Linked DNA regions of Stegostoma tigrinum. The protein of the gene in region 1 purifies or fractionates together with the protein of each later gene. This does not show direct contact. Links are inferred from orthologs where the notes say so. Each region holds a gene or a part of one and is shown on either strand. Other genes may lie near its edges.

Region 1 (7,214 bases):
AACTTAGGGGGTTTGAGTCCAACTTTCTTTTCCCCTGCCACAGTCCCACTCCAGGCTTTCCAGCCCTCGCCGTGCCCCCGCATTCCACTCCAGGCTGCCTCACTGGCCCGCTCTCACCGGATCGCTCTCGATCCGCCATTGCTGCGGGACACAGCCCGTGCATTCAGCTCCCGCCATGAGGTGCCCAGTCACCTTTCAACTCCTACGGTAGGTAGTTAAAAGGGGCAGGGGTGTATACTACAGAGGGAGGGAGAAGAAGCGAGAGCCAAAAAAAGGATGGTCAAGGAAAGAAAGAGAGAGAACTGGCGAGCAAAATGGAGCCACTTACTCTGCTGCCATCTTGCCACAAGCGAGACGAGCATTCTCAGCTCTGTCTTAATTGGTGACTTCTTACTCTGAGATGATGTCCACTGGTTTGAGACTCACCCATGATGGGAACCAACCTCTTCCACATCCACCCTGTCAAACCCGCTAAGTATCTTCCATGTTTCAATAAGGTTGCCTCCCATTCTTCTAATTATTATTGTTATTCTAGGTTCACCAGGTTGACACTGAGGGATGACAGGGCTATCTTTGTTTGACTATTTTTAAAGTTAGTTCACAAGATGAGGGTGTCGCTAGGTCAGCATTTATTGCCCATCCCTAGTTGTCTGGAGGGCAGTCAAGAGTTGACCACGTTGCTGTGGGTCTGGAGTCACTGGTAGGCCAGACCAGGTCAGGATGGCAGTTTGTGAATGCGATGGCTTTCCCCCACTCCCAACAATTTGTGGTCATTAGATTGTTCTCAACCTTAGCACCCATAACCCAAGCTACAAATCTCCTCCAAAACCTTAGAGGTCATTAGATTCTTAATTCCAGATTTTTGTTTAGTTATTAGATTCAAATTCCACGGCACTATTTCAACCTCGGTTTCCAGACTATTACCTGTGTCTCTGAATTAACAAACCAGCAATAATACCACTAGGCCATTGCCTCCTGACTGTGAGATTATAACCTCTGGTCTGGGATATTCCTTTATTCACTAGAGTTTAGGAGAATGAGAAGGTTGGGGAGTCTAGAACCAGGGTTCATTGTCTCAGGACGTGGTGCAGGCCATTTAGGATGGACATAAAGATTTCTTCTTTCAAAGACTCATGAACCAATGCAATTCTCTACCACAGAAGGCGCTGGAGGCTACAACATCGAATATATTCAAGATAGGTAGATAGAGTTTTGAGATTTTAAGAGCATCCCAGGGTATTGGGATGAAGAGGCAATATGGCATTGAGATAGACGGTCAGCTATAATCACGTTGAATTGCAGAGCAATTTCATAGCACCAAATGTCCTACTCCTGCTCCAATTTTTGACATAAACTCCAGTGAGTATGAGCCCCACTAAAACATAGAAATTATGTTACCAATGAGGTAGTCACAGCGTTTTATCCTTGGGCCACAACTATTTACAACCTATATTAATGACTTGAATGTAAGAGATCTGGCTGTAATAGCAAGTAATAATGGAACTCTAACATTTATTGCTAACGATAAGGGATAAGAGTAGGAAGTGATATTGAAACTGTACGAAGCATTAGTGAGACCACATCTAAAGTACTGCATACGATTTTGGTTCCCTTATCTGAGGAGCATTTCGAGTCCATTGACCCTCCTTCAGACCTGATAGTAGCTAGAATGAGGTTTATATATGCTGAAGGTGGGGTGAGAGGAGAAAGAGTTAAATGATAGGTGGAGATGGTGCCCAGATAGAAACTGTTGTGCAGACAAAGGAACGGGTATAGGTGAGCTGGAAAATCAACAGCAGCTAACAGGGACCACAGCTCCGCCATTAACCCTATAATCCCAATTTATCTCGAAACTTTGAGACCTAGGTGTTCACTCCACCTCCTGCAACTGGATCCTCAGCTTCCAGAGAAACATGGAAGATAGACAACAGAACCTCCTCCACAATAAGCCTCAACATTAGCAACCCTCAAGGATGTATACTCAGACCTCTTATGTATTCTCTGTACAGTCATGACTGTGTGGCCAAATTTCATATGATCACCATCTACAAGCTTGCTGGTGACATCACCATGGTAGGTCAGCTATCGAATGATGATGAGTCAGAATACAGAAAGGAGATAGAGGGCTTAGTTTCATGGTGCAATAACGATCTCTTTCTCAACGTCCACAAAACAAAAGAACTCATCATTGCCTTGAGGAGGAAAGGAGGAGGACATGCTCCTGTTTACATCAATGGAGCAGAGGTGGAGATGGTCGAGAGCATCAAGTTCCTAGGAGTGATGATCATCAACAATCTGTCCTGGACCTCCTATGTAAATATGATGGTCAAGAAGACACGACAACACCTCTTCTTCCTCAGGCTTAGAAATTCAGCTTGTCCATAGGGACCTTGACCAACTTCTACAGATGCACCCTAGTGAGAATTCTAATGACTTGGTACGAAAACCGTAGTAAGAAACTACAGAAAGTTGTGTACACAGCCCAGACCGTCATGAAAGCCAACCTCCCATGTGGGCCCCATCTACACTTCTTGTTAGAATCATAGAATCATGGAGTCCCTGCAGTGTGGAAACAGGCCATTAGGCCCAACAAGTCCACCCAGACCTATCATCTACCCCTTCCATGTAACCCTACATTTCCCATAGCTAATCTGCCTAATTTACTCATCCTTGGATACTACGGGAAACTTATCATAGCCAATCCACCTAACCCGCACATCTTTTGACTGTGGGAGGAAATCAGAGCACCCGGCAGAAACCCACACAGACATGGGAAGGAAGTGAAAAATTGAACCTGGGTCTCTGGCACTGTGAGACAGCAGTGCTAACCACTGAGCCACTGTGCTGTCCGAAAATCATTGAATCCCTCAGTGTGGAAGCAGGCCATTCTGATCATCAAGTTTATCATAACATTCCAAAAAGCACCCACCCAGTTCCATGCCCCTACCATATATACACCACATTTCTCATGGCCAATTCACCTAACTAGCACATCTTTGAACCATGGGAGGAAACACACACAGATAGTCACCCAAGGCTGGAATCAAAGCTGGGTTCCAGGCACATGGGGCAGAAGTGCTAACCACTGTGTCATTGTACCACATTGTTACTAAAGTGAGGCAGCCCACATCATGAAAGACCCCTCCCACCCAGGTTCTAATCTCTTCCAACCTCTACCATCAGGCAGAAGAAACAGAAGCTTAGACTCGAGTAGTAACAAGTTCAAGAACAACTTTTTCCTTTGCTGTTATCAGACTGATGAATGGACCTCTCTAATTTCACATCCAATGTTGATCAGAGGGTCACCAGACCCCAAACGTTAACTCTGATTTATTCTTCACAGATACTGCCAGACCTGCTGAGTTTTTCCAGCAACTTCTGTTTTTGTTCCTCCTCCCTTCTGTGCGGCTGTAAAGTTGTATGCCTCACTTTGTCTAAGCACCCTATTGTCTGTTTGTCCTTGAATGTTATCATCTGTTTTGTACCAGTCGCAAAAAAAGACTTTTCACTGTGGTAGCAGCCCAAATGGTGACAAGGCCTAGTGCGTGGGGCTTTGGGTAAGGACTCATCTCACCTGACATATTAACCCTGCCTTCTCTCCACAGATGCTGCCAGACCTGTTGAGTTTTTATGAAAGTACTGCAAGAAGGTTGTGAGACCGCAAATGATTAATTCTGCCTTCTCTCCTCAGATGCTGCCAGACCTGCTGAGTTTTTCCTTATTAATTTCCTTACTAGGAATAACGAAATCGCTGGAAGAAAACTCGTGTTGTGTCTGGCAGCATCTGAGGGGAGAAATTTCGAGCATCTAGAGTTCTTAGGGCTTATTATTCTCCAAATCAATTAATTTTGCTCAAGCATCCATTCTGGCGCCGGCTGGACTCGAACCCGCGAGCTTCGGGCTCGGGGGCAGGAACGCTGTCAGTGCGCCACAAGTGGTGCGTGTGCGTATCGCCGCGCGGAGAGACGGGGTGTTGTTTGCGCTGGGCCCTCGCCTCCTCATTCCGTCACCACCGCCGCACGTCCCAAAAACCCCCAGTGGATTCTGGGAGGCCGGCTGCAGCCGGGGCAAAGATGGCGGCCGAGGGCGCTGCGCATCCTTGCGGAAGTGAGGTAAGTGAGAGTGTGGCGGGGGGGGGGGAGGTGGGTAGAGGCGGGTGGAAGGTGGGGGGAGGGGAAGGCCTCACCCCACCCTCCCCCCCCCCCCTTCCCATGGCCGCCGCCACCGCCGCTACCAGCAGCGAGCCGAGAGAAAGGGAAGAAGTGGCTGTGGGATCATGTGAGACCGAAAAATGGGATCCAAAGCAGGAGAGAGTGGACGAACCAGCCGAGGAAATGGTGGCGGATTCCGCAGCGGTAACCACAGAGCCCGAGGCGCCGGTATCGGGGAAAAGAGTGAGTCTCGCCTTTAAAGGCGGAGTGGGGAGGGGGGGGCGGTGGGTGTCAAGAGCGGCCCGCGTAGTGCGCGGGCGGGCTCCTCCTCCTCCTCCTCCTCCGTTTTAATCACCACCCATCCGCCCTGGGAAAAGCCGCTCGGTCGGTCGGGAAACATACCAAAGCACGAGGGAGGAAAAAAAACGCGGTGTTTCGTTTCGCCGCCGCCCGCGCGGGAGAGCCGCACGGTCGGTCAAGAAACGTTAAACAAAAACCCTGTCAATTTTGTTTAGCCGCCTCCGCCCGCAACGGGGGTTCGGAGGTGAATGGATTATATAATAAATTATTTGTAAATACTCGATTGCTCATCCTTATGCCCTGCTCAAAGCAGCAACTTACGTTCGCCATCCCGATCGTAAACATGGTGCAGGCTGCGAGCTGAGCCGAAAGTGTTTTATTTTATGTTTATTCATTGGAATTGTTGCTAATTAGCCTACACAAGCTCCCCCTTCATTTTTATATATTTTTTTCCTGACATCGACTGTTTCCTTTCCTCTCAGCTGTGTTTCTTTTGTTACTGTCCACCCCGCCACCCCACCTCCTGAGGCCGACGGTGTAAAGCCTGAGGTCGGCCACTGTTGTTAGGCGAGGCCGGGGATCGCCTCAAGGCTCCGTGAGGCCTACCTCCCTCTCCCTCTGAGGTTGTGTGGTGTGGGGTGTGGATGGTGTTGTCCGGAACAAGGCACCGACAATGTTCGTCGGTTTCCCATCCCACTCTCCGACCCTTTCAGTAAACTTTTTCTTCTCCCTCTCCAAGTGGGCTTTTCGTTTCTTTGTCCTGGGATCACTTTTACCATCATTTCCTCAACAGGTTTCCCTTCTCTCTCTCTCTCTCTCTCTCCCTCATCCTTCAGGGTAAATTAGAGGTTCCCCAGATACTGGAACATGTTCCTTTGTTATTTACTGAGACTCGCACACTTAAAATTTCTCCTGTCAGTGGCATGCCAGTTCTTATTTTATTTATCTCAGCAAGCTGCCCTTTTACAACTGATTTCACATATGTTTCAATTCACACGTGTGCATATGTCTGAATTAATGTGTTTATAATCTTTGTGTGATTTGTATTATAACTGACAATATACTGATCATAGATGAAGTCACTTGCATTCATGTTGAACACAACGTACTGACACATTACAATTTGAATGTTTGTATATCTATAATGAGATAGAGAACTGACAAAATTATGAATGCACGTAGTCATGCTATAATCTGTAATGTATATTATAACATACTGACAACCCGTAGATATGAATGCACGTGTTCATGTTATGAGATATATAACAGTATACTGACAGATTATAAATACACATGTATTCATGCTGTAATCTGTGTAATGTAAATTGTAACATATACTGACAGACTATAGATAGAAATGCACGCGTTCATGTTGTAATGAGATATATAACGGACTGTGTACTGACAGTATTGTGAATTCATGCTGTTATCTGTGTGATGTATATTATAACACGATGTACTGACAGACTATAGATAAATACACTTGCATTGGTGCCGAGTTTGTGTGCGTTAATGAAGTATACGTGAAATGTGTGTGGAACTTCCCTTTTACTCGCAGTACCCAGCTGCTGCATTAATTTTCCTTGCAGTAGATGGAGTGACCAGTGAGACTCGCTGCTCTGCTTTGTGTGCACTTTGTGGTGAAGTAACCCGTTTTTATTTGGTCATAAATATGCGGAACACGTGTGCTTTAGTGCAGGTTCAGCAAATACAGCTCCTACTCCTTTCGAAGGTTATGTTTGTATTTGGATTTATTTTTAAAAAAGAAAACTCTGGCACTTTGTATTTTTCTTGGTGTTTCTCTTTCTGTGTGTGGAGCGGGGTTGGATTGTCCCTGATCACGGCTTTGACTCAGTCCTCCTTCGCACATGTTGGGAGGTTGGTCATTTTGAGGTCAGTTTGGAATCGGAAACGTCTCTAAAACAGTCGGTTTTTTTGTCTCCTGCGGCAGGTGGAAGTTAACACGTGTCTGGACGAGGCGTTCGACTGGGCCATGTGTTCACTAGCGTCTTAAAAAATGCCGAGTAGGATAATCAAATCACGATTTTTTGTTGTTGTTTGCATTATGAGAGTGAAGGTTGGCACGGATTTAATTCTGTATGTAACTTCACCTTCAGTACTTAAGCTACACTGTCTCTTCTTGTTCACCACTTAATTTTTCGGGCTGATACATTATGTATCCACATTAATGCTGCAGGTAACCAGCTGAGTGATCGTTTTTTGTTCCTGCTGCTTCGATTAATATTCTTCTGTTCCTGTCTCTTATAAATGTTTCTCTCCAAACTAAAGCCTTGGCCTAACTCTGCCAGTTGGTTGTACACAGATTGGGGCTGTTATTTTGGTGTTTTCCGTAACTGGAAGTTCGAGCAAAGTACTGTTAGTACTGTTTCCTCATCAGCCAATATTTTTTAAACGAGAAATTCCGGATCTGTTAGACGCAAGATCTTGTAATCCAAAAACGGTAATTTATGGCATTGTGTACTCAAGTTATATACATGACCCCTGGGTTTCTCAGCACCTCTCCTTTTGCAACCAGGGATTTTCGCGATTTGTTCTTATCCTCATGGAAACTCATGAGAACTTTGTAGTGGAATTGTCTTTGTGGTAACTGAATTTGAATGAGTTTTATTCTACAGTTCAAGCCTAGTTAAACTGATTAGAAGAGGAACATATAGGGAAAATAAACAAAGGTGGCTTTGTAATTTTCTGAAATGAAAGGAGTGCGGATTGGTATTTCAGACATGAAACATTCTCTGCTAGTTT
Region 2 (7,781 bases), on another chromosome or scaffold:
GTGGGGTATGAAATGTAAGAATGGAAGACAAATGTATTAACTTCAATCTCTTATAAGCTCAAATAATGGTAGTGTACCTGTAAACATATAAGTAGTGGAGGAGGTCCACAGTCTGCACACTTTATGTAGGGTTCCATTAGATAAGAGGAACATCCACGACATGGTGGTTGATCAAAGGGGTCACCTGAAATAAAGTCAGATCAAGGCAATTCAGCAAGTGATATCTCCAAATAGTATGCATAGATTTAATGTTACAGTAAATATTCATACAACAAATTACCTTGTGGTATCTGTAACAGAGGAACTGTTACATTTTAATGCAATCATCAGGGCCATTCCAACAACCACCTAGAAACCACTTCTCATATATTTTATGTAATTCTCAATGTGAACATGAGATTGCTATACCAACCATGAGAAAACCAGACAGCAGCCTGTATAAGGATATTAGCTTTTCAAGCTTTGATTTGTCTCTGAAAAAAAACACTTTTAGCTGTATAACACTAGGTTGCAGTACTGGCAACTACAAGCAATGCAGCAATGGTAACAACAGTTTAAATAAAATAATTTCAAAGCATCAATGAAAGATCAGATACATGAGCTTTGCGTTAAAAGTGATTTTTAAAAATTGAGAAACATGAAAACTGGATTAGTAATAACACTATTATATGCATATACTTTATTAATACAACTATTTTTGCTCCCTATGTAGAGTTTCTGATCAGGAAATGGGTCATTACAGACAAGTGTGTGACTTGGAAAAGAAAATGCCAGAAATACTCAGCAGGACAGGTAGGTTGGTAAGAAAGAGAATTAAAATTTTAGTTTGATTATCTGTCAACAAAAATGGAAAACGTTACAGATGCAACAAGCCAGAAAGTAGAGGGGTGGGAAAATTGGGGAAAGGTAAAGAACAGAAAAAAAACTGTTAATTGGGCAGAAGACAAGAATAATTAAATGCCAAAAGATCAATCATTTTAGCACTCCTGTATTCCACACTATAAGAACTTCCCTTTCATTGTAATCTCCTTCATGATCAATGTACTTGCTTAAATCCCTGTAAGATTTGTAACTTTTTTCCAGTTCTCATGAAACATCAGAGACCTGTAGCACTATTTCAATGACCACAGATGCGGCCTAACCTGCTGAGAATTTCCAGCACATTATTAATTTCAGATTACTGATGTTAGCAGAATTTTGCTTTTGCGCACGGCATATGTGAAGTACTCCATGATCTAATTTGTTTTGCATGAAACTATGGGGAATAAGGGAAAATCCTGTTTAAAAACCTAGAGGTAAAGAACGTGACTTTCAAAAGGTTCTTTGGACATATGCAGCGTTGGTCTTTAGAAGGTTTTGAAATATTTTCACATTAATTCTAGGAGGAAATGGAGAAAATCTGAATATAAAATTGCCCCTAATTTGATAAAAATTAGAAGCAACATTTTTTTTGACTGGATAGACGTGGCATGGTGGAAGGGGAGAAGAAATACAACAGGACAAGATATCAGTTTGCAGCAACTGTTTTTATTTCCTTTCCCCTTTCATGCGATCTTTTAATGCCTCAGCAGCCCACCCTGGTGTAATACATGTTTTCCCAGTTGTAAAGTTTGAGTGGTGCTCTGGTGGCATAATAGGAAACTGCTAGATAAACGTGCTTTTACATCTAGATTTTACTTTGGTGAGTTAAGGAAATTGTTAAGAATTGGACTGCTTTCCCTGGCAGTCTTTCAAGGAGGCAAAATACTGAAATATAAAACAGAATTACCAGAAACAATATTAACCTCCTTCCATGCATTTACTGGTCTGTCTCTGCAGCTTTTTCCTGCTTTTGTGTTTCAGTAGTTTTATTTCACAATAAGACTTACACAAAATTGCACACAGACATAAGTAAACATACACACAGAGTAAGGTAGGAAGTTTTAGTGACTGGATGTTTGCATCCACAAGAAACTTTGATACATCCTGTACTCACTAAAGGTCTAAAGAAATGCATAAACTTTTTTCTTATCACAGTGATGGGCTGACTTGTTGATCATTTTCAGTGTATTTTGCACTTCTAAGACTTAACGATTTGTTTTGGGGTGCTGTTGAAATACTACGGACACCAAAGGTAAGGGCAAAATGAAAAGTTTACAAAGGCCAGCAATTCAAACGATGGATGATGCTTCTCGACGAGCAGCTCAATTTACTTCTCTCAGTTAACGTGAACCAACCTTGAGTGGGTCTGTTACAGCTCAGGTCACACAGCTTGCCTGCACTTCGCTCTGCGGCCATCAGAAGCGAGGGAGAGCTAAATGCACAACACACGTGGCATATTCACCGTACTAAACACAAATGCTCCACTGACTTTAACCCCGGTTTGAGACACACAGATAAGTGAGTTGGAGCGAGCAATTAAATTCAGTCTGAAAAGGGTTGGGTTGGTACAGTTTATCTGCGAGTCTGAGCTCTTAGGGCGCTGTGTTTTGGTTTAGAAAAGAAAGGTGACCTGGTGGGAGGAGAAGTCGGCTCCGAAACAGTGATCCATACAATAAAAAGCACGGCACATCACTGTGGCCACACATTTATTTTAGGCAAAGACATCTGGATTTTCTTTTAGCATTAGGTGTTTGGTGGTTGTGGGTGTTGAAAGAAGAGCTTGGAAGAGGAGCTTTTATTGAGAAGCAAATTTCTCGCCCAAACGCGAGTCTAATTCAATTGCCGGCTCGTGGTTAAGGCTGCAGCTACAGGCCCGAGGAAAGCACCGATCCTCTGGTTATCAGCCATCCACACCCCCTCCATCCCCCGAGGGTGAGACACAGGGCGGGGGGGCTACTCACTGCCGAAGGGTGCCAGCCGATCCATGCTTCACAAAATGACGCCGACGAACGAAAACGGAAACAAAATTTGTCAGTCTGAACTAAACCGCGGTGACGACCCAGCACCGACGACTGTTTTTGTCTTTGGCTAAAAGACTGCTGCTTCTCCCCAGCGCCCCGCTCGCTGTCCGCCTGCCGCCATTTTACTCCCCAACTCACTCCAACGGCCCGCCCGCAAGATGGCCTCCGCCGTCACTCAGTAGGATTGACAGCGGCCCCCACCAATCCAATGTCAGCGTTCGCACGCAATCCCGCCCCCTGCTCGCTTTACTGCTCCAATACTGGCTGTGTACTGGTGGCCCTCTCCCACTGACATTGTATGAATGAGTTTATTGCCATGTGTATTTTACAGTAAGAATACAGTAAAATACACAGTGAAAAGCTTTCACTTTTCGCCACGATCTGGCGCCATTTTGAATAATTTAAGAATAAGGAGAGAAAGATATAGCTGAAAGGAACAAAAACACAAGTTGCTGGAAAAGCTCAGCAGGTCTGGCAGCATCTGTGCAGAAAAAACAAATCAAGAGTTAACATTTAGGGTTGGTGGCCCTTCCTCAGTGCTGATTTTTTTTTCCTCCATAGATGCAGCCAGACCTGCTGATTATTTCCAGTAACTTCTGTTTTTGTTCCAGATTTACAGCATCTGCAGTTCTTTTGGTTTTTATATAGATTAAAGGGAGTCCCTCAGTCCTGAGACATAGTAAGAACTGCCGATGCTGGAGTCAGACAAGGCATTGAGGTCTGAAATTCAGATTTCTGAAGGGGTTGCCGACCCGAAACGTCAACTTTCCTGCTCCTCTGATGCTGCCTGACCTGCTGTGTTCCTCCAGCTTCACAGTGTGTTACGTCAATCAGACCTGAGCCAGTTTATGACCATCATCGACACCTGTGCCGCCATCCCCCTGCCCCCACACTGCTTTTGCTGCCATCTGTTCCGGACCCAACCGACATCTTAACCAGTTCCCTCCCCCCATCCCCCTCTCTGATGAAGGGTCTAGGCCCGAAACGTCAGCTTTTGTGCTCCTGAGATGCTGCTTGGCCTGCTGTGTTCGTCCAGCCTCACATTTTATTATCTCGACATCTTAATCGCTGAGCCTCGGGTGCTAGTTTTTGCTGCTGGGGAAATTCTCCAGCGCACCTCGCTGCAGCCTGCACCAGATCAAACAATGTCCGAGTCACATCGTCCACCACTGGGCCCATCTTGCTGGTGTTGCTGTGATGCCCTTCCACCACCACTTTGCTGCTGCCAGCACAGGACCCAGCCAATGATTAAGTTGCTTATCCTCAGGTGCAATCTTTCGCCCAGGGGCCTACCTCACCAACGTTTCCTTCACTGGCGTAGCAGCTGCCGATTGAAATGCCAACTCCTGTGCTCAACCTGGAAAAGGGCCCACTTGAGGTCTGTGTTGGGCTTTCGCTGCTGCTGCTGCTGCCATCCAAGCTCAGGACAATAGTAAAGTAAGGGTATCGGAAGCAAACAAAAGTAAGACAGACGAAAAAAAGAAAGAAGGAAAGTGGTTGGAGCAGATGAGCTCCAGTTAATGCTGCCATCTTGCTTCCAGTTTCCAAGGGTCTGGACAGAATTTAAAATTAGTTTAGTGTTCACAAGTGATCACAAATTCACCTTTCACCACCTGCGTATTGCAATTTAAGAGCACATGTGTACTGATTCATACCCAGATATGAGTGGACTGCATTGTACCTGACAACTCAAGCTATCAATGGATTCTGCAAAATGTTTGCAGTTATTGCATTTTTCATGACCTCAGAAATTAATTGACTGAGAGAAGTACCTCAAGTACTTTTGAATGCTGGCTGGTCTTAGCAAGAACCTGCAAATTAACCAACCACAATTTGAATTATGCTGGTGGGATAAATGCTAAACAGCTCTCCTCCTCCAGAAAGCCATGTACTGTAGCATAGAACTCAAGCCAAGAGGGTACTTATGGTGCAATGGCATTGTCCCCTAACTCTTAACCACGAGTTCAAGTCCCATCTACTCCAGAGATGTGCCATCAAACATCCTTGAGCAGGCTGATTAAAAAATACCTAGAAGCCAATCCTTAAACACATTTATATTTGTTTATTTTACACATTTCAAGTATACAAACACAACCATTCTTCATGTGGCTATTTATAGGGTCCAATACATCAATGCTCCTAAGTTGCACATACAACTAATATGGAATTAAGAGTTTGTCGCTTGTACACTCAAACAAAGTCTACACTTCCATCTGGCATATTTAGTGCTACCATTCTCCAAGGGACCTCCAGAGCCTGTTTGGTCAACTGTGGTAGAAGAAACAATTTACTGGTCTTACTAAAACAGGCTCTTATATTAAATAAGTACTAGTTATTTACATTAGCAACTAAGTACAAGTTACTTTGATGATAAATACACCCTCTGTTCTGGATATTAGGTTTTGAGATCCCATTCTTCCTGCCAGGCCATTTGACATCATAATGGATGGTGGTTAGGGCATTCCATATAAACCCTTTCAGAGCTTTATGCAATGATTATCCCTCCGAAACAGATGCAATCTCAAGGTTAGAGCTCGCAAGAACTGCAAATGCTGGAGTCAAAGATAACACAGCGTGGAGGTGGAGGAACACAGCAGGCCAGGCAGCATCATAGGGGCAGGAAAGTTGACGTTTCAGGTCGGAACCCTTCTTCAGAAATGGCTTCTCAGAAGAAGGGTCCCAATCTGAAAAGTCAACTTTCATACTCATCTGATGCAATGTCAACGATTATATGTGATTAATGAGGATATCTGAGGATTACAGTCTGTCTCTTAGAGCTCCAACATGGGCTGTGACATACACACTGCATCACCCCAACCCCTCCAAGGTTCTGCTTAGAATGACTTAAGTAGAAGTCTATAAAAAGTTACATCTTGTTCAATCAGACATATCTAAGTTTTTAAAAATGAATAAAATTTGATGTACAGAATTTCAGAAAAAATAATTTTATATTCATGGACTGATAAAGTAAATACTTTTCTAAAGCTTAATATTAAAGATTTTATTTGGAATGTTTTATCTTCTATCCTCACTGCACATATATGCGCCGCTATGTAATTTGCTCTAAAACCTTTTATTTCAGTGCTTTGTGTTTCTGATTTAAGGGATGAGATTATTTGTGAAAATAATTTAATTATTTCAGGCGTTTAGATCATCTGATGACTTCACTGCTGCTTCAAGTTGTTCATGCCCAGTAAAGATTGCTGAATCAGTTGCTGCACTACTGAATGGAACTGGAGCTGAAATTTTCATCAGAGACATTACAGGATTTCTCAGCAATTGAGCATTTTAAAAAATTCATTTTGTTGTGTGGATGTGGACGTCACTGGCTGGCCAGCATTTCTTGCCCATCCGTAGTTGCCCTTCAGCATCCTTAGACATTTCTTCAGCCAGAGAGTGGTGGGCCTGTGGAATTCATTGCCACAGAGCGCAGTGGAGGCCGGGATGTTAAATGTCTTCAAGGCAGAGATTGATAAATTCTTGATCTCACAAGGAATCAAGGGCTACGGGGAGAGTGCAGGGAAGTGGAGTTGAAATGCCCATCAGCCAATGGCGCAGTGGATGCGATGGGCTGAATGGCCTTACTTCCACTCCTATGTCTTATGGTCTTACTCTGTTGCTGCTCCAAAGTCTTAGTCAATATTTTCAAAAGTCTGCACTGAAGCGTCAGTCTTTATTGTACTCAATTCTCTGAATTTTGAGGAAATCAGCACAAGTGCCAGCAATAAGTCAGAGTTCGTGGACAGAGGTACAAAAATGTTGCAATGCATGATGTGATTTATTTGTAAATTTGTGTCATGTACTTTTTTTGGTCACTTGGCATATGGAGGAATGGGATTGCACAGTGGACAAAGAGGCAAATATTTCTCTTGGGGAGAGATAATGGGAACTGCAGATGCTGGAGAATCCAAGATAACTAAGTGTGAAGCTGGATGAACACAGCAGGCCAAGCAGCATCTCAGGAGCACAAAAGCTGACGTTTTGGGCCTAGACCCTTCATCAGAGAGGGGGATGGGGTGAGGATTCTGGAATAAATAGGGAGAGAGGGGGAGGCGGACCGAAGATGGAGAGAAGATAGGTGGAGAGGAGAGTATAGGAGGGGAGATAGGGAGGGGAAGGTCAGTCCAGGGAAGACGGACAGATCAAAGAGGCAGGATGAGGTGGTAGGTAGGAAATGGAGGTGCAGCTTGAGGTGGGAGGAGGGGATGGGTGAGAGGAAGGTTAGGAAGGCAGAGACAGGCTGGGCTGGTTTTGGAATGCAGTGGGGGCAGGGGACGAGCTGGGCTAGTTGTGTGATGCAATGGGGGAGGGGACGAACTGGGCTGGTTTTGGGATGCCGTGGGGGAAGGGGAGATTTTGAAGCTTGTGAAGTCCACATTGATACCATTGGGCTGCAGGGTTCCCAAGCGGAATATGAGTTGTTGTTCTTGCAACTTTTGGGTGGCATCATTGTGGCACTGCAGGAGGTCCATGATGGACATGTCGTCTGAGAAATGGGAGGGGGAGGTAAAATGGTTCGCGACTGGGAGGTGCAGTTGTTTGTTGCGAACTGAGCGGAGGTGTTCTGCAAAGCGGTCCCCAAGCCTCCGCTTGGTTTCCCCGAAGTAGAGGATGCCACACCGGGTACAATGGATACAGTATGCCACATTGGCAGATGTGCAGGTGAACATCTGCTTGATATGGAAGGTCATCTTGGGGCCTGGGATAGGGGTGAGCGAGGAGGTGTGGGGGCAAGTGTAGCATTTCCTGCGGTTGCAGGGGAAGGCGCCAGGTGTGATGGGGTTGGAGGGGAGTGTTGTGCGGGCAAGGGAGTCGCGGAGAGAGTGGTCTCTCCGGAAGGCAGACAAGAGTGGGGATGGAAAAATGGCTTGGCTGGTGGGATCGGATTGTAGATGGCGG
Region 3 (6,877 bases), on another chromosome or scaffold:
TCAAAGTTAAATTATATACAGATTATATGCTTGGAGTTGTATTTGTTATCCCAAGAAACAGAAAATTGTACTGAACTTTCTTGCATCTTCCCCCACCCCACCACAAATGGTGCTTAAATACTGAAAACTAACCAAAATATTAACCCAGCAAGTGTGCCCTACCTCACTTCCACTTCAGGTTTATTATGGCGTTCCACAACTTGTGATGAGAAGTTTTCGAGGCAGAGTGCAGCTTGAAGTGTGGCACGGACTGCATTCAGGTATGGACGGAGCGTCGCCTATCAAGTGATAAACAAAGTTAAAGTAATAAAGCTTAGAAGACCCTTTAGGCAATTACACCATTAAGGGACATTAATGTTGGAAAGATCCCATTTAAATCTGTAAATTCAAATCTCATTATAAAAGATTTTTGTTCAGACAAATGTAGTGACATGAATGGAACAGTGGACCAGATTATCTCATGATCTCCCTTTAATTAACAGGCAGTGACTACTTGTTGCGAACAAAAACAAAATTAAGTAAACCAAATAAGTCAACAATACCAGACAGCCGGTTAATCACATTTAAAACGTGAGAATGAATAATAGCGGTTTGATTAGCTCTAGTTAATCTACAGCAACAGTCCATTTTTAAAAACTATGCTCAGGTCACACCCACTCCATTTTAGACTCAAAACACTGACCAGCAAGGCAGTTAATGCATGTATGGTTGTATATGCTGAACAACATGGGAGAAAACAAAGTAATTTGAATCTTAATACCATCTGTTGACCATATAGGATTTTAACTTAGAGTCATAGAAATGCACAGCACAAAGACCCTTCTGTTCAACTTGTCCATGCCAGATATCCTAAATAAATCTAGGCTCATTTGCCAGCATTTAGCCCATATCCCTCTAAACCCTTCCTATTCATATACCCATTCAGATGCCTTTTAAATGTTGTAATTGTACCAGCCTCCATTTCCTCTGGCTGTTCATTCCATACACGGACCATACTCCGGGTGAAAAAAACTTGCCCTTTAGGTCCCTTTTAAATCTTTCCCCTCACCTTAAATCTATGCTCTCTAGTTTCGGACTCCTTCACCTAGGAGAAAAGATCTTGTCTATTTACCCTATCAATGCCCCTCATGATTTCATAAACTTCTAAGGTTATTCTTCAATCTCCGATGCTCCAGGGAAAATAGCCCCAGCCCATTCAGCTTCTTCCTACAGCTGAAACTCTCCAACCCTAGCAACATTTTTGTAAATCTTTTTGAACCTCTTCAAATTTCATAACATCCTTCTGGTCTCCCTGCTGTCAGAACTGCAGTGTTCCAAAAGTGGCCTAACTAATATCCTGTACAGCCACCACATGACATCTCAACTCCTATACTTAATGGATCGATCAATAAAGGCAAACCTACCTTCTTCGCTATCCTATGATACCACTTTCAAGGAACTACCAACATGACTCCAAGGTCTCTTTGTTCAGCATCACCTCCCCAACCAGAACCTTGCCATTAAGTATATAAGTCATGCCCTGATGTGTCTTTCCAAAATGCAGCACCCTCTCATTTATCTAGATTAAACTCCATCTGCCACTCCTCAGCCCAATCGACCCAGCTGATCAAGTTCCCATTGTACTGAGGTAATCTTTGCTATCCACTACACCTCTAATTTTGATACCATCTGCAAACTAACAAATCTTATCTGTTCACATCCAAATCATTTATATAAACAATGAAATGCAACAGACCCGACACAGAACCTTGTGGCACACTGCTCGTCTCAGGCCTCCAGTCTTAAAAATAATCCTGCACCACCACTACCTGCCTTCTACCATCGAGCTAATTCAGTATCCAAAAAGCTAGCTCTCCCAGTATTCCATGTGACCCAACTTTACTAACCAGTCTACCTCTTTCCATAGTATCAGAGATAATGGGAACTGCAGATGCTGGAGAATTCCAAGATAATAAAATGTGAGGCTGGATGAACACAGCAGGCCAAGCAGCATCTCAGGAGCACAAAAGCCGACGTTTCGGGCCCAGACTCTTCATCAGAGATGAAGGGTCTGGGCCCGAAACATCGGCTTTTGTGCTCCTGAGATGCTGCTTGGCCTGCTGTGTTCATCCAGCCTCACATTTTATTACCTCTTTCCATTACTTCTTTAGAAACTCAATTAAGTTAGCAAGACATGATTTCCCATACTCAAAGCTATATTGACTACTCCTATCAGTCCTTGCTTTTCCAAAAACACGTAAATTCTGTCCTTCAGGATTCCCTCCAACAACTTACCCACCACTGATATCATGCTTACTCATCTATCGAAGTTTTCTTCCCCAAAGGCCATTAATAAAGTAATTTTTAATCAGCACATGAATTATTTCCATTTTCTTAGAAAAACCAAATTCAATGTATAACTAATTGTTATAATGAAATTTAAACAAACTTTATTTACCTTGCCGTGGCTTCTAGAATACTAAACTAGTAACCTAATCTGCTAGCAGACAAGTGAACTGTGGACTTCACATCGGAAACCTGGCTGACCACTCACCAGAAGTAACTTCACAGCTAGAACTTGAAATATAAGTTAACTCATCATTTTCACCTTGAATAGGATATTTTTGCCAACAGCAACATCGTGTTATACGAATAAAGTAATAACTGAAAAGTAACGAAAGGTCTGAGCCATCCATAACTGCTATTGTGAGCGCTCACAACCTCTTGAGGATTAAACATAAAATACAAGACTTTGCACCTATATACGGTCCTGTTAAAAGGAACAGCGTCAAACACTAAACCGCAAACAACCTTGAACAGGCACGCAGTCCCAGTGACAGCCGTAAGTTAGAATATGGAACAAGGCAACCTAGTGACAAGTACCCAGCCAAGAAATACTGACTGCAGTCAGGAATTAACAACCTGCCAGATATCAACGACTAGAAACAGGCACACAATCAATGCCCTCGCTTCCCCATCGCCACTGAGGAGGCTGCAGGGACGCGACAGGATCACAAATTCCTGACTCAACCAAAGGCATTCCAGATTGGAGGCAGAGGAAGAGTAACACGGTTGGACTGTTTGATATGGAGAGAGCGGTACACGAGCCGGCCCAGCCCGGATACCAGTCGGCTCAGCTCCGGCCCAGAGACAGGAAGCGTTGGGTGTGGAACTCTCCCCTGCCCTCGGGGGACGGGTGGGGCCTTGCTGCCGCTTGGAGCCGTTACTCCAGCTGACTCCGGAGGTGCCGATTATCTCCTCTCTCCCCCGCCCCACCCAACCCCGATCTGTTCACCTAGCCGGAGCGAGCCCTCCACCCCATTCAGGGACCCTCTCAGCCCTGACCCCCTCCTGTTACCATCGTCTCCCCGGAAGGCGGAAACGTCCCGGGCGCATGTGCAGCCGTACCTCTTCACACCCCGCCCCTGCCCGCTGCAGGATGTACCATGCTTCCAGGAGGGAGAGTAACAGCTCGCTCTAGTGCTCTGCCGTAGTTTTTGTCGTAGTTGCATCCACTTTCCATGTGCAGAAGTTGCACAAACTTTAGCAATCAATTAAAGCTTTGTTCCCTGTTTCTTACTCTTTAGGTGCTGCCAACATGATCATCGATTTTGAATTTCACTCCCCCCGCGTAGTATTTACTTTTCTCACGCTGGAATTGGTGAACTTTTGAGAATTACGTTGCAAAAAGTATGGATTTTATTTTCATGGTATTTATGTGAAGCTGTAAAATGAATAAAATTATATGTATGTCAAACGTTGTTGATCCAAAGAGCCGGCCTTGCCGCACCAGAAGCTCATAACAAACGTTGCTTTATATATTTCCCCCTCCTCTATCTATGGCATTGGTCTGGTCCAAAAGCACCGGAAAAGGATGTGGGCTGAACCACTATGACAAAGTGTAGGATGAGAATTAGGGGTGAGTGACGGTTAAAGATTGCACAACTTCGCAGAACGTGTATTTTTTTACATGGCGCTTTCGCTCTATTACTAATTAACCTAGCGAAGAGGCGAGAAGGACACGGCTGTTGCACGGGTGCCTGCGAGAAGGGTGGCCACTGTGTGTTGTACATCCCCTCGTTCTCCCTAGTAGTGGTAAAGTCGCAGATGGAGCCTGTTCCCAGGTAAAAGGTAACAAAGTCCTGTTGAAAATGTGAGGGAGCCGGCACATAGCAACAAATGTCTGTTACCTTAACTACCCACGGATTCTGTTCCTCATTGCACTGCAGCTTGAAATTACAGGTATTTTTGTGTCTTGGTTACTGGGCACTTGGACAGAAAAAGAGCTTTTATTTCACAATGTTGGAATCAGGTGGTTAAAGCAGGTCCATTGCTGACTACAGGATGAGGAAAAGGTGCATTAGCAGCTGCAATTGCAAACTGGGGTCTTGACACAAACTGATCTTGTATCACCACTAATGCCCTGGCCTTCCTGTGTCTAACAGTGCCTTACCTGTAAGTTAGGCAGGCAGGGAGTAGGACAGGGGAAATAGTTTCTTACTGCTGTCAGTAACAGCTGACAAACCTGAGATGACAGAAAATGAATACTGAATGTCATTTTATTCCATGATACAATTGTCTTCCAGCAACCGCATCATTGCTCTTTGTTGAATAGTGTAGTCTTGTTTCCAAATTTGTTTGCTTTACATCTAATGCACGATTTGATCCTATCGCCTGAAAAGTCTGCTTTTATGTGAACGATTAACACCTTTTACAGTCAATCTGCTTTTGGTTTGATGAGAGTTTCAGACGTTTAATTTGTTCTGCTAATTTTTGATCAATAGGTACTTCTGTGTGACGGAGTCAATGTCTTTTCACCTGTCTGACATCCAAGTCAAGAGCAATTGTTTAAAAGCTAACTGTAAGGATATAATGTGAAATAAATTGGCCAATCCCAATTTCATATGGCAAAAATACAAAATTGCAGTTGTTGATCAGAGTTCTCAAGCTGTGCATGTGAATTGAGAGTAGAACACTGTTAGAGTAAAGGAATCTTGGTTCTGTTATTGACTGTGCTGCTCTGAAACTGTAAATAGAGGTTTACATTACAAGTCTCCCATTATAAATAAAATGTGCTTCAGATTACATCCTTTACCCGGATGAGCACAAAAAGATCAAACAACAAAAATAGAAATAATTTTCTTGTTGGAGAGAATACAGAAGAGAATGTTTCTAGGAATAAGGAATTTCAGTTAGAAAATTTCGATTGAAGAAACTGGAACAGTTTTTTGAGAAGAGAAGACTGAGAGGAGATCTGACTGAAATATTCAAAGTCATTTGAGGTCTAGACAGAGTAAATAGGGAGAAATGTTTCCACCTGTGGAAGGATTGAGAATGAGAGGGCACAGGTATAAAATCATCAGTTTTTAAAAAAGTAAATGTGATAGGAGGAAGATGTTTTTCATACACTGTGTGGTTAAGGTCTAGAATGCACTTCCTGAGAGGATTTTGGAGAAGATTCAATTAAGGTAGTAAAAACAGAATTTGCTGGTTATCTGAAAAGGATGAATGTGCAGGGTTACAGAGAAAAAAACAGCAGAATGGCACTAGGTGAGATGCTCAGTTTGGAGAACTTGCTGGAAAAGCTTAGCAGGCCTGGCAGCTTCTGTGAAGAGAAATCAGCACTAATGTTTCAGGTCCGATGACCCTTCCTTAGAACTGGACCCGAAACATTAACTCTGAATTCACTTCACAGACGCTGCCAGACCTGCTGAGATTTTCCAGCAAATTCTGTTTTTGTTTCTGATTTACAGCACCCACAGTTATATCGGGTTTTTATTTGCTCAGTTTGGAGACCTGGCACAGACATCTGGGGCCAAATGGCTTTCTCCTACATGGTAACAATTCTGTGGCTCAATATAAAAGACATTTTACAGAAGATACATGAAGATGAAGTAATGGAATAGTTGGGCAGAGGCAATAAACAGAATAAACAGAGGGCAGCTGAATCTGCAAACCCTGGGAAACTGAGGCAAAATGAGGCAGATGTTTGGCTGAATAAAGGAAATTGGTAAAACTGGTTTAGCATTTATAATTTCAAGTGACTCATTGACTAGAAAACTCATCTGGAATAAATGACAAAATGCACAGCAAATAAATTGTTTCACTGGAATAAACAGAAAAAAATCGGTGGCATTTTGAAACATTTTTAATGGCCCTTCACACCACTGATGTTATCGCTTAGAAAAATCATGGCCTTGAGCCAAGGGATACTTGCTGACCCTCTGATTTTTCTGGGATGGCTTTGAAGAGCTTGTTTCAATTGCAGTACTTGCTTTTAAAATCTATTTGGAACCTATGAGTCTGTTGGTCGACTAGAGAAGCCCTTCACAACCTTCATTTCTTGCATGTGTATAGTTAACCTTCCATTTGCTATATCACTTATTAATCAGAACTACCAATGTTCAATTTGAATTGTTTTTTATTTCTTTACAGATCTTAGACAAACTTTCCACGTGCTCAAGATGAGTGAACTAAAAGACTGCCCGCTGCAGTTCCATGACTTTAAGCCAGTAGATCACGTGAAGATGTGTCCCCGCTATGCAGCTGTGCTGTCGCGCTCTGAGGATGATGGAATCGGAATCGAAGAACTGGATACATTACAGCTGGAGCTGGAAACTCTCTTGAGCTCAGCAAGTCGGCGGTTGCGAATTCTAGAGGCAGAAACACAGGTAGGAATGTTGCATTAAACTGTTAGTTGCATTGAACAGAATGCTAACTGACCAGAATTCGTCTGATGGAGGAATTGTAAAGGAAATAAATCACCAGTGGGAGTGATGTACTGCATGCCTCCCCCACCAAAAAAAATGATATAGAACAAAATATACAAGAGGAAATATTGGGAGTTTCTAAAAAGTGGACAATAATTGAGTAATTTTAATCTACATATAAACTGGAA

The links. Proteins that work in one complex are often made in the same cells at the same time.
Region 2: the proteins of zzz3 (region 1) and tada2a purify together in Homo sapiens (affinity purification with mass spectrometry; 4 studies listed by BioGRID and IntAct, with this or other methods). This does not show direct contact. The link is inferred for Stegostoma tigrinum from reciprocal best matches to the Homo sapiens genes ZZZ3 and TADA2A.
Region 3: the proteins of zzz3 (region 1) and tada3l purify together in Homo sapiens (affinity purification with mass spectrometry; 4 studies listed by BioGRID and IntAct, counting the BioPlex papers as one, with this or other methods). This does not show direct contact. The link is inferred for Stegostoma tigrinum from reciprocal best matches to the Homo sapiens genes ZZZ3 and TADA3.

The regions. Positions count from the first base shown.
Region 1 is NC_081361.1:92,318,920-92,326,133, reverse strand, and holds the start of zzz3 (ZZ-type zinc finger-containing protein 3), read left to right. Parts: upstream 1-4,204; 5' UTR 4,205-4,394; intron 4,395-6,129; exon of another isoform or gene 6,130-6,344; intron 6,345-7,214.
Region 2 is NC_081380.1:33,512,447-33,520,227, reverse strand, and holds the start of tada2a (transcriptional adapter 2-alpha), read right to left. Parts: upstream 3,024-7,781; 5' UTR 2,848-3,023; coding exon 2,823-2,847; intron 185-2,822; coding exon 78-184; intron 1-77. UniProt on the Homo sapiens protein: Component of the ATAC complex, a complex with histone acetyltransferase activity on histones H3 and H4. Required for the function of some acidic activation domains, which activate transcription from a distant site. Binds double-stranded DNA.
Region 3 is NC_081364.1:18,563,703-18,570,579, forward strand, and holds the start of tada3l (transcriptional adapter 3), read left to right. Parts: upstream 1-3,854; 5' UTR 3,855-3,870; coding exon 3,871-3,898; intron 3,899-3,908; exon of another isoform or gene 3,909-4,221; intron 4,222-6,414; coding exon 6,415-6,650; intron 6,651-6,877. Other genes in the region: uncharacterized protein LOC125460488, read right to left, coding at 163-278, 3,338-3,340. UniProt on the Homo sapiens protein: Functions as a component of the PCAF complex. The PCAF complex is capable of efficiently acetylating histones in a nucleosomal context. The PCAF complex could be considered as the human version of the yeast SAGA complex.